Linked DNA regions of Sus scrofa. The protein of the gene in region 1 interacts with the protein of each later gene in a pairwise test. Links are inferred from orthologs where the notes say so. Each region holds a gene or a part of one and is shown in the gene's direction. Other genes may lie near its edges.

Region 1 (3,816 bases):
CAACTATATTTCAATGGAAAAAAATGTTTAAATGACAACTCCTTAATCTCTGTCATCTGTCCAGCTAGAACCACAATCAAAGAATTTTTGTGTGATAGGTTCTCCTTCACCAGAAATGTCTACCATCTGGTATTTTATCTGCCAAAGGAATGATAATTGGTACATTTTTTTCTGCTCTCTAAAACCATAAGTTATTAGATTTGAAGAGTTCTTAGAAAGTGGAAAAAAACTTACCAGCTATTTATTTTGCCATGAGATGTCATTAAAAACAAAAAAACCTGCTACATACCACCATCTAACCGCAGCACTATGATAAATGATATTTTCTTATTGTTGGGTTTTCATCTATGAAAAAACCTAAGGTCAGGAGACAGGTTTTTGGACATTTAATAATTCTGATTCCCCCCCTCCTTTTTTTTTTCCATGCTAGAGCCTCCAGTTATGGTGACCAAACAGCTGGAAGATACAAAAGCTTACTGTGGAGAGAGAGTGGAATTAGAATGTGAGGTGTCTGAAGATGATGCCAACGTAAAATGGTAAATAGCTTTCCTGAGGTCTGTCCATTTTTAATAGACGAAAGAAAGGGCCCTTCATAGCTTGGAGAATAGGAAATTGCTTTTGCACATATGAAAAGAAACTCACCTTCACTCGTGTTACTAGCAATTATAACTAAAGCTTTATCAAGATACTGTGAAAATGAAAACTGAGAAATGTCCAGAAATCTGTCTTGGTAGGGATATAGGGAAGCAGGCACTTACGAGTAAAGGGATGGCTCAGGGTTCCCCAGGTCTATTTAACTCCAAAGTCCATGGGTGCTCTATACCATGCTTACTCTTACTATACCATACTGACAAGTTACATGGAAAAATTGTTTTCATTTTATTACTAGTCACTTTATTGTTACCGTATCTCAAGAAAATATTTTAGACTGAGAATTACCAATTACTTAAAAAAATTTTTTTAATAAAAAGCATTTTTTAATCTGATGGGAAGTGTTTTCTCAAGTTCTCTGCAAATAACTTCAAAATTAAAGACTAGAAGACTCCAAGCATTCCTGTTGTGGCTCAGCGGAAGTGAATCCAACTAGGATCCATGAGGAAGCTGGCTCAATCCCTGGCCTCGCTCACTGGGTTAAGGATCTGGCGTTGCTGTGAGCTTTGGTGTAGGTCACAGTCGCAGCTTGGATCCAGCGTTGCTGTGGCTGTGGTATAGTCCGGCAGCTGCAGGTCCAATTCAACCCCTAGTCTGGGAACTTCCATATGCCATGGGTGCAGCCCTAAAAAGTGGGGGGGGGGGGGTAAAGACTAGAAGACCCAGAATCTTAAAAATGAAATACTTTTTTGAGAAATATAGTAAATTATGCCACAGGAATCTCTAGTAATTGGTACAGAATAGATTGTTCATTCTAATCTAGAATCTTGGCTATCTTTCCAATGTATTAAAATGTTATTCTTACTTGTGTGTGTCAAGAGCCCAGACGTGGATAATACCCACTCTTAGTATCTTTATCTGATTGATCTTGAACGGAAAGAGGGGGCTTATTTTTTTTTATTTTTTGTCTTTTTGCCATTTCTTGGGCTGCTCTCACGGCATATGGAGGTTCCCAGGCTAGGGGTCTAATCAGAGCTGTAGCCACCAGCCTATACCAGAGCCACAGCAATGCGGGATCTGAGCCGGGAGTCTTCTACCTACACCACAGCTCATGGCAACGCCGGATCCTTAATCCACTGAGCAAGGTTAGGGATTGAACCTGCAACCTCATGGTTCCTAGTCAGATTCATTAACCACTGCGCCATGACGGGAACTCCCAGGAGGGGGCTTACATTTTTAATGTAATTTTTCAGGAAATGCTTGCCCAGTATTAGGCCACTGATAGATTGATTCATAAGTGCTTTAATTCAGCAAAGAGTCTTTGAATGTTTGGTATCTGTATCCTGAAGAGTCTTTTATAAAACTTTTTCCATAATATATTTTAACTCAGGTTTAAGAATGGTGAGGAAATTATCCCTGGTCCAAAATCAAGATACCGAATTAAAGTTGATGGCAAGAAACACATCTTGATCATAGAAGGAGCAACAAAGGCTGATACTGCAGAATATTCTGTAATGACAACAGGAGGACAGTCATCTGCTAAACTTAGTGTTGACTGTAAGTAAGACTTCCTTGGATGTCTTCCAGGTGGTTTTCCTAGTGGTGTTGCATTTGTTCATTCAACTCAATCTATCCGATTTCTACTTGTGACAGTTTTAAACATGTGACGTTAGATTCCATTCTAGTTGAGTGTCTGTGTCATATCCATCAGGGTCTCTGAGAAAAGAACCTACTACTCAATTTAATAGTAGAATACCAGGAGTTCCTGCTGTGGCCCAAGTGGGTTAAGAATCCAACTGTAGTGGTTTGGTTTGCTGCAGAGGTGAGGGTTCAGTCCCTAGCACAGCACAGTGGGCTAAGAATACAACATTGCCACAGCTACACTGGGTTCAATCCCTGGTCCAAGAAGTTCCATATGCTGTGGGAGCAGCCATTAAAAAAAATGTAGAATATCAGTATTGGGAAGGAAGTATAAAAATCACCTGCCACAGAGTTATCCAAATGGTTAAGAGATATTTTAATCCTCAAACCATATAAATGGTTGATAAATACTTAGATATGATATCAAATCCTGATATCCTGTTTCCTTAATCCATAGATGAACTTACTATCTATTCATTAAACATTCAGCATTCTACAATTTGGAGTGAGGAGTTACTCAAAATAATGGTCTTCAGCTGAGAAGACTGTAAGGGCGAGTTTGCGGATATTCTTCAGCAGCGTGAGGGAAGGCATGTTCTTCCCCAAGGCCCCCTGGTGATAGTCAGTTCTTAGCGGCAGAGTCTGTCACCTCCAGTTAGCCATGAAAGTTAGAATAGCAAATTTCACAAGAAGATTAATAAGAAATGCAGAGCAGAAATACCACTTCTTTACTTCTTTCTTAGTCTGGGTGTGATTCATATGATCATCGAATTATTTGGAAATAATCTCGGTATACTCCTTATGTTTTGGGGAATGGTAGTCATTTGAGTATAATATCAAAAAAGTTTTTTTCAAGCATAGGCAGATCCTTCTCTGATATTTTTATCCATTTAAAACAATTACAGTCGGGAGTTCCCATTATGGCTCAGCAGAAATGAATCTTACTAGCACCCTTGAGGATGCAGGTTTGATTCTTGGCCTTACTCATTGGGTTAAAGATCCAGCATTGCTGTGAGCTGTGGTGTAGGTTGCAGACCCAGCTCGGATCTGGCATTGCTGTGGCTGAGGCATAGGCTGGCAGCTGTAGCTCTGATTCAACCCCTAGCCTGGGAACCTCCATATGCCACAGGTATGACCCTAAAAAAAAAATTATTATAGCAAAACTGATTGTACCATTGTGAAATGAAACCATCTTGACCTGTCTGGAGTTGGAATTTGTCACTTATAACCATCTATTATTTCTGTAGTAAAACCTCTGAAGATATTGACACCTCTGACTGATCAGACTGTAAACCTTGGAAAAGAAATCTGCTTGAAATGTGAAATCTCTGAAAACATATCAGGAAAATGGACTAAAAATAGTCTACCTGTTCAGGAGACTGACCGTCTAAAGATTATTCACAAAGGAAGGTAAGCAAGCTAGGGTGATCCCTAAGTGAGGACTGGTGCCCATCTTCACTTCTTCCTAGTTCCTAAGTTACACAATTGGTGAGGATGTTTGGAGAGTAGTCATGGGGAGAGGATCTATTTCTCACTCTTTTCTCCAAATAGCAAGAGTATGTGATTTGCCTGTTGTACATCATG
Region 2 (3,816 bases), on another chromosome or scaffold:
CTATTGATCCTCACTTGCTTGGATGAAGGGGGATTTGATTTTTGGCGCGTCACGAAGCCAAACGCCACTGTGACAGATAGCTCACGGGTGCAGAACTGATTGCTCAGGCCTCCAGAGTCAGTAAACTGTCTTGGAAGTCATTCTGTAGGATCATTTCAGGGATTACAAAGTGCTCTGCCAGATTTGAAATAAATGCTTACGCACTGCTCATGTCCCTAGCATGGTCTGGTGTTGGCAGAAAGTTTGGGTTCAGATGCGCTGAATTCCGTGGCTGGGAGCGTGGGGGCCTTCTCCCTCCCCCGCCAGCCTCTCCTCCTAGGAGCTGCAGACGCTGCCCCAGCGGCCGCCCGCCCAGCTCGGCTCAGAGCCGCCTGGCCCCCTCAGTGTCCTCTCAGAGGCAGTGCAGGGGGATGGCCCAGTGGGACCCTCTCCCGGGAGCCCAGGGACTGTCTGTTTCATCGCCGGAGTCACCAGTGAACTGCCTCTGGCCTCAGCGCCCTGGCCGCAGTCCCCGAACCCCTTGGCCTTCGCGTCTCATTTGTTCTGCCTCCTTGCCCCCCGCAGGCCCCTCCAGCTACAAGGTAGGCACCATGGCCGAGAAGTTTGACTGCCACTACTGCAGGGACCCGCTGCAGGGAAAGAAGTACGTGCAGAAGGACGGCCACCACTGCTGCCTGAAGTGCTTCGACAAGTTCTGCGCCAACACCTGCGTGGAGTGCCGCAAACCCATCGGCGCTGACTCCAAGGTAGCGCCCGTGGGGCCAGGGTTGGGGGGGGGCAGGGCAGGGCCGGCGCGCGGAGGAGCAGCCACACTTCCATCCCTGGCTGGCTGATGGGGAACACGGCCAGACGCCAGCCCTTGCGATTGTCTCAGGAGTGGAGTCTTCCAGCCTCCCCCGCATCCAGGGTGTCAGGGACTGTGTCATCCTGACGGCCACCCCCTGTGCTCGGTTCCCAGGAGGTGCACTACAAGAACCGCTACTGGCACGACACCTGCTTCCGCTGCTCCAAGTGCCTTCACCCCTTGGCCAATGAGACCTTTATGGCCAAGGACAACAAGATCCTGTGCAACAAGTGCACCACTCGCGAGGATTCCCCCAAGTGCAAGGGGTGCTTCAAGCCCATCGTGGCAGGTACCGGCCACACTCAGCCCCGGGGCAGCCAGGGAGGAGGCCCTGAGGGCAGCGTGGCGCAGGGGTGCTTGTGATGGGGATGACGCTGGCGGGAGCCGCTGCCGGAGGTTAGCATATATATGCATGCATATATACACCCGTATATATGTGTACACATATATGCTCGCACACACGCACACACTCGGCAAGTAAAGAACCCTGGAGAGAACGGGCTGTGGCAAGAGAAGGAAGCGACAAGTATGTAGCGCTTTCTCATTTGGGTTTAGTAAGTGATCGAAGCATGCTTCTTCCTGGGGTGCTGTTCCTGGTCAAGGAGCCCCTTCCCACTGGAATCTCTTGAGTCCATGCAGGGGGTGGGGGCGCGCGGCGCGGGGATTCAGGCGTCTGAGCCCCACAAGGTACAGCCAGGTCCCCCCCCCCCCCCCACGGACAGCGTCTGGGTCGGCATGACCGCACGGGGGGCGCGGTAGGGGAGCCCACGGGCAGGGTCAGGGGAAGTGTGAGGCCAACAACTGCAGGGCCTGCGTTCCCTCCCCTCTGGAGGGCCCAGGGAGGCTGAGCGGATGCAGCCCCCTGCAGGGCACTGTCAGTGGGGCTACCCCCTCGCTTCCCCCCGCAGGCGATCAGAACGTGGAGTACAAGGGCACCGTCTGGCACAAAGACTGCTTCACCTGCAGCAACTGCAAGCAAGTCATTGGGACAGGAAGCTTCTTCCCCAAAGGGGAGGACTTCTACTGCGTGACTTGCCATGAGACCAAGTTTGCCAAGCACTGCGTGAAGTGCAACAAGGTACGTTGTCAAGGGCGTTCTGCGCTGGCCATTGTTTCTAGAAGCATTTGACAGTTTGCAGAGCACTTGCACACACACTATCCCATTCCATCCTCACGACAGCCCTGCGACGTAGGAATTATTATTCTCGTGTCACAGAGGAGGAGACCGGGGCGGTCGAAAGCAGCGCCCAGGCCGAGGCAGGCACCCTGACTGGCTCTGGAGGCCGGCCTCCGCCACCCGGTTGCCGCGTTAACCTTGCACACGGGCTCGCCTTCCCCGAGCCCCGGTGTCCTCGTCTGGAACCTGGGGATAATAATGGCACCTGCCTCCCATGGCCGTTGTGGCGATTCAATGAGATACTGTAGACCCGAGCGCCCAGCACAGTGCCTGGCACGTAGTAGGCATTCAACAAAATGGTTGTTGAATCTGAATCCGGTGCTACACTCCCTGGTCTAGGCCATCACATCTGGAGGAATCACTTACCAGGATCAGCCCTGGCATGCCGAGTGCTTTGTGTGTGTTACCTGCTCTAAGAAGCTGGCTGGGCAGCGTTTCACCGCTGTGGAGGACCAGTATTACTGCGTGGATTGCTACAAGAACTTTGTGGCCAAGAAGTGTGCTGGATGCAAGAACCCCATCACTGGTAGGCTAAAGAGTCCTTGCTAAGTCTGCCAGGCTAGGTCTTGCGCATGGTAACCATCTCTCATTTTCCTACGTCGTCGGTTTCATCCACAAAGGCCCCAGAGAGTGCCCCCTCCCCCTGCCACTGTGGTCCCAAAGGCCCCCAAATAGTGCGGATTCTCCCCCAGGCCAGGTTAGCCTTTGCAACACAGAACACTTCTGACTACTGCCGACTAACTTACGATGCTGCCGGAGATCACGAGCCTGAGACCCACGGCCACGGGCAGGCACTGCGCGGGGATGCTGGGGGCGGGGGAGGGGCGGGGGGGGGCCAGGCGCGGGCTGGGCTGGGGTGCGGGAGGGGAGCGGGGGAGGGGGGGCGGCGAGCCAGAAGCTGGGATGCAAACACCCCGTAGGGGAAGGTAGCTCAGAGGTGCCAGTGGGCAGGTCTTTTGCGATCAGGAGCCAAGCGAATCACTTCATTCCTCATCTCGCGGCCGCGGTCCACGTGCCCTGGGCCCTCTCCCCCGTCTCCAATTTTCCCATCTCCCGGGGAGCCTTGAAATGTACATTTGAGAAGACTTTTGCCATCCTCAGGGAAAAGGACTGTGTCAAGAGTGAGCCACCCAGTCTCTAAAGCTAGGAAGGCCCCAGTGTGCCACGGGAAACGCTTGCCTCTCACCCTGTTTCCCAGCGCCAACCTCCGGGGCAGGCATCCGGGTGGAGAGAGGACTTGTCCCTCGTGGGTGGTGGTTCTTTATAGAAAAAATCGAAGCTTAGCAGCTCCTCGAGGCCCGGTAAGTGCACACCCCACAAACGGCCCAAGTTTGCCTCCTGGTGGCCACTTTGATGCCATGGCCCTGACCTAAATCAAAGAAACTGGTTGTGCTGGGAGGTCGGTGCGCGTCAGTCACAGGGCGATGGCGGTGGCAGGGGATGTGGGTTCTGGAAAGCACGGGAGCCCTCGGCGGAGCTTTGGCATCTTCTCAGGTCCCGGCGGCGCGGGGGACGGCGGCGCGCGCGCGCGGTGGAGCGGGGGGCCGGGCGCCGGGCGGCCGCTGCCCGCGCGCTGGTGGGCCCCGTGGACGGCCTGGCTCCCACCTGTGTGCACTCAGCTGTCGCTCTTGTTTGCTTTTGTTTCCTCCGCAGGGTTTGGTAAAGGCTCCAGTGTGGTGGCCTATGAAGGACAATCCTGGCACGACTACTGCTTCCACTGCAAAAAATGCTCCGTGAATCTGGCCAACAAGCGCTTTGTTTTCCATCAGGAGCAAGTGTATTGCCCCGACTGTGC

Evidence for each region.
Region 2: the proteins of MYBPC1 (region 1) and FHL1 interact in a two-hybrid assay, tested with the Homo sapiens proteins (2 studies listed by BioGRID and IntAct). The link is inferred for Sus scrofa from reciprocal best matches to the Homo sapiens genes MYBPC1 and FHL1.

Annotation. Positions count from the first base shown.
Region 1 is NC_010447.5:82,595,551-82,599,366, reverse strand, and holds part of MYBPC1 (myosin-binding protein C, slow-type), read left to right. Parts: intron 1-430; coding exon 431-536; intron 537-1,981; coding exon 1,982-2,148; intron 2,149-3,479; coding exon 3,480-3,642; intron 3,643-3,816. UniProt on the Homo sapiens protein: Thick filament-associated protein located in the crossbridge region of vertebrate striated muscle a bands. Slow skeletal protein that binds to both myosin and actin.
Region 2 is NC_010461.5:111,362,728-111,366,543, forward strand, and holds part of FHL1 (four and a half LIM domains protein 1), read left to right. Parts: intron 1-564; coding exon 565-746; intron 747-958; coding exon 959-1,133; intron 1,134-1,752; coding exon 1,753-1,922; intron 1,923-2,360; coding exon 2,361-2,547; intron 2,548-3,122; coding exon of another isoform or gene 3,123-3,322; intron 3,323-3,674; coding exon 3,675-3,816.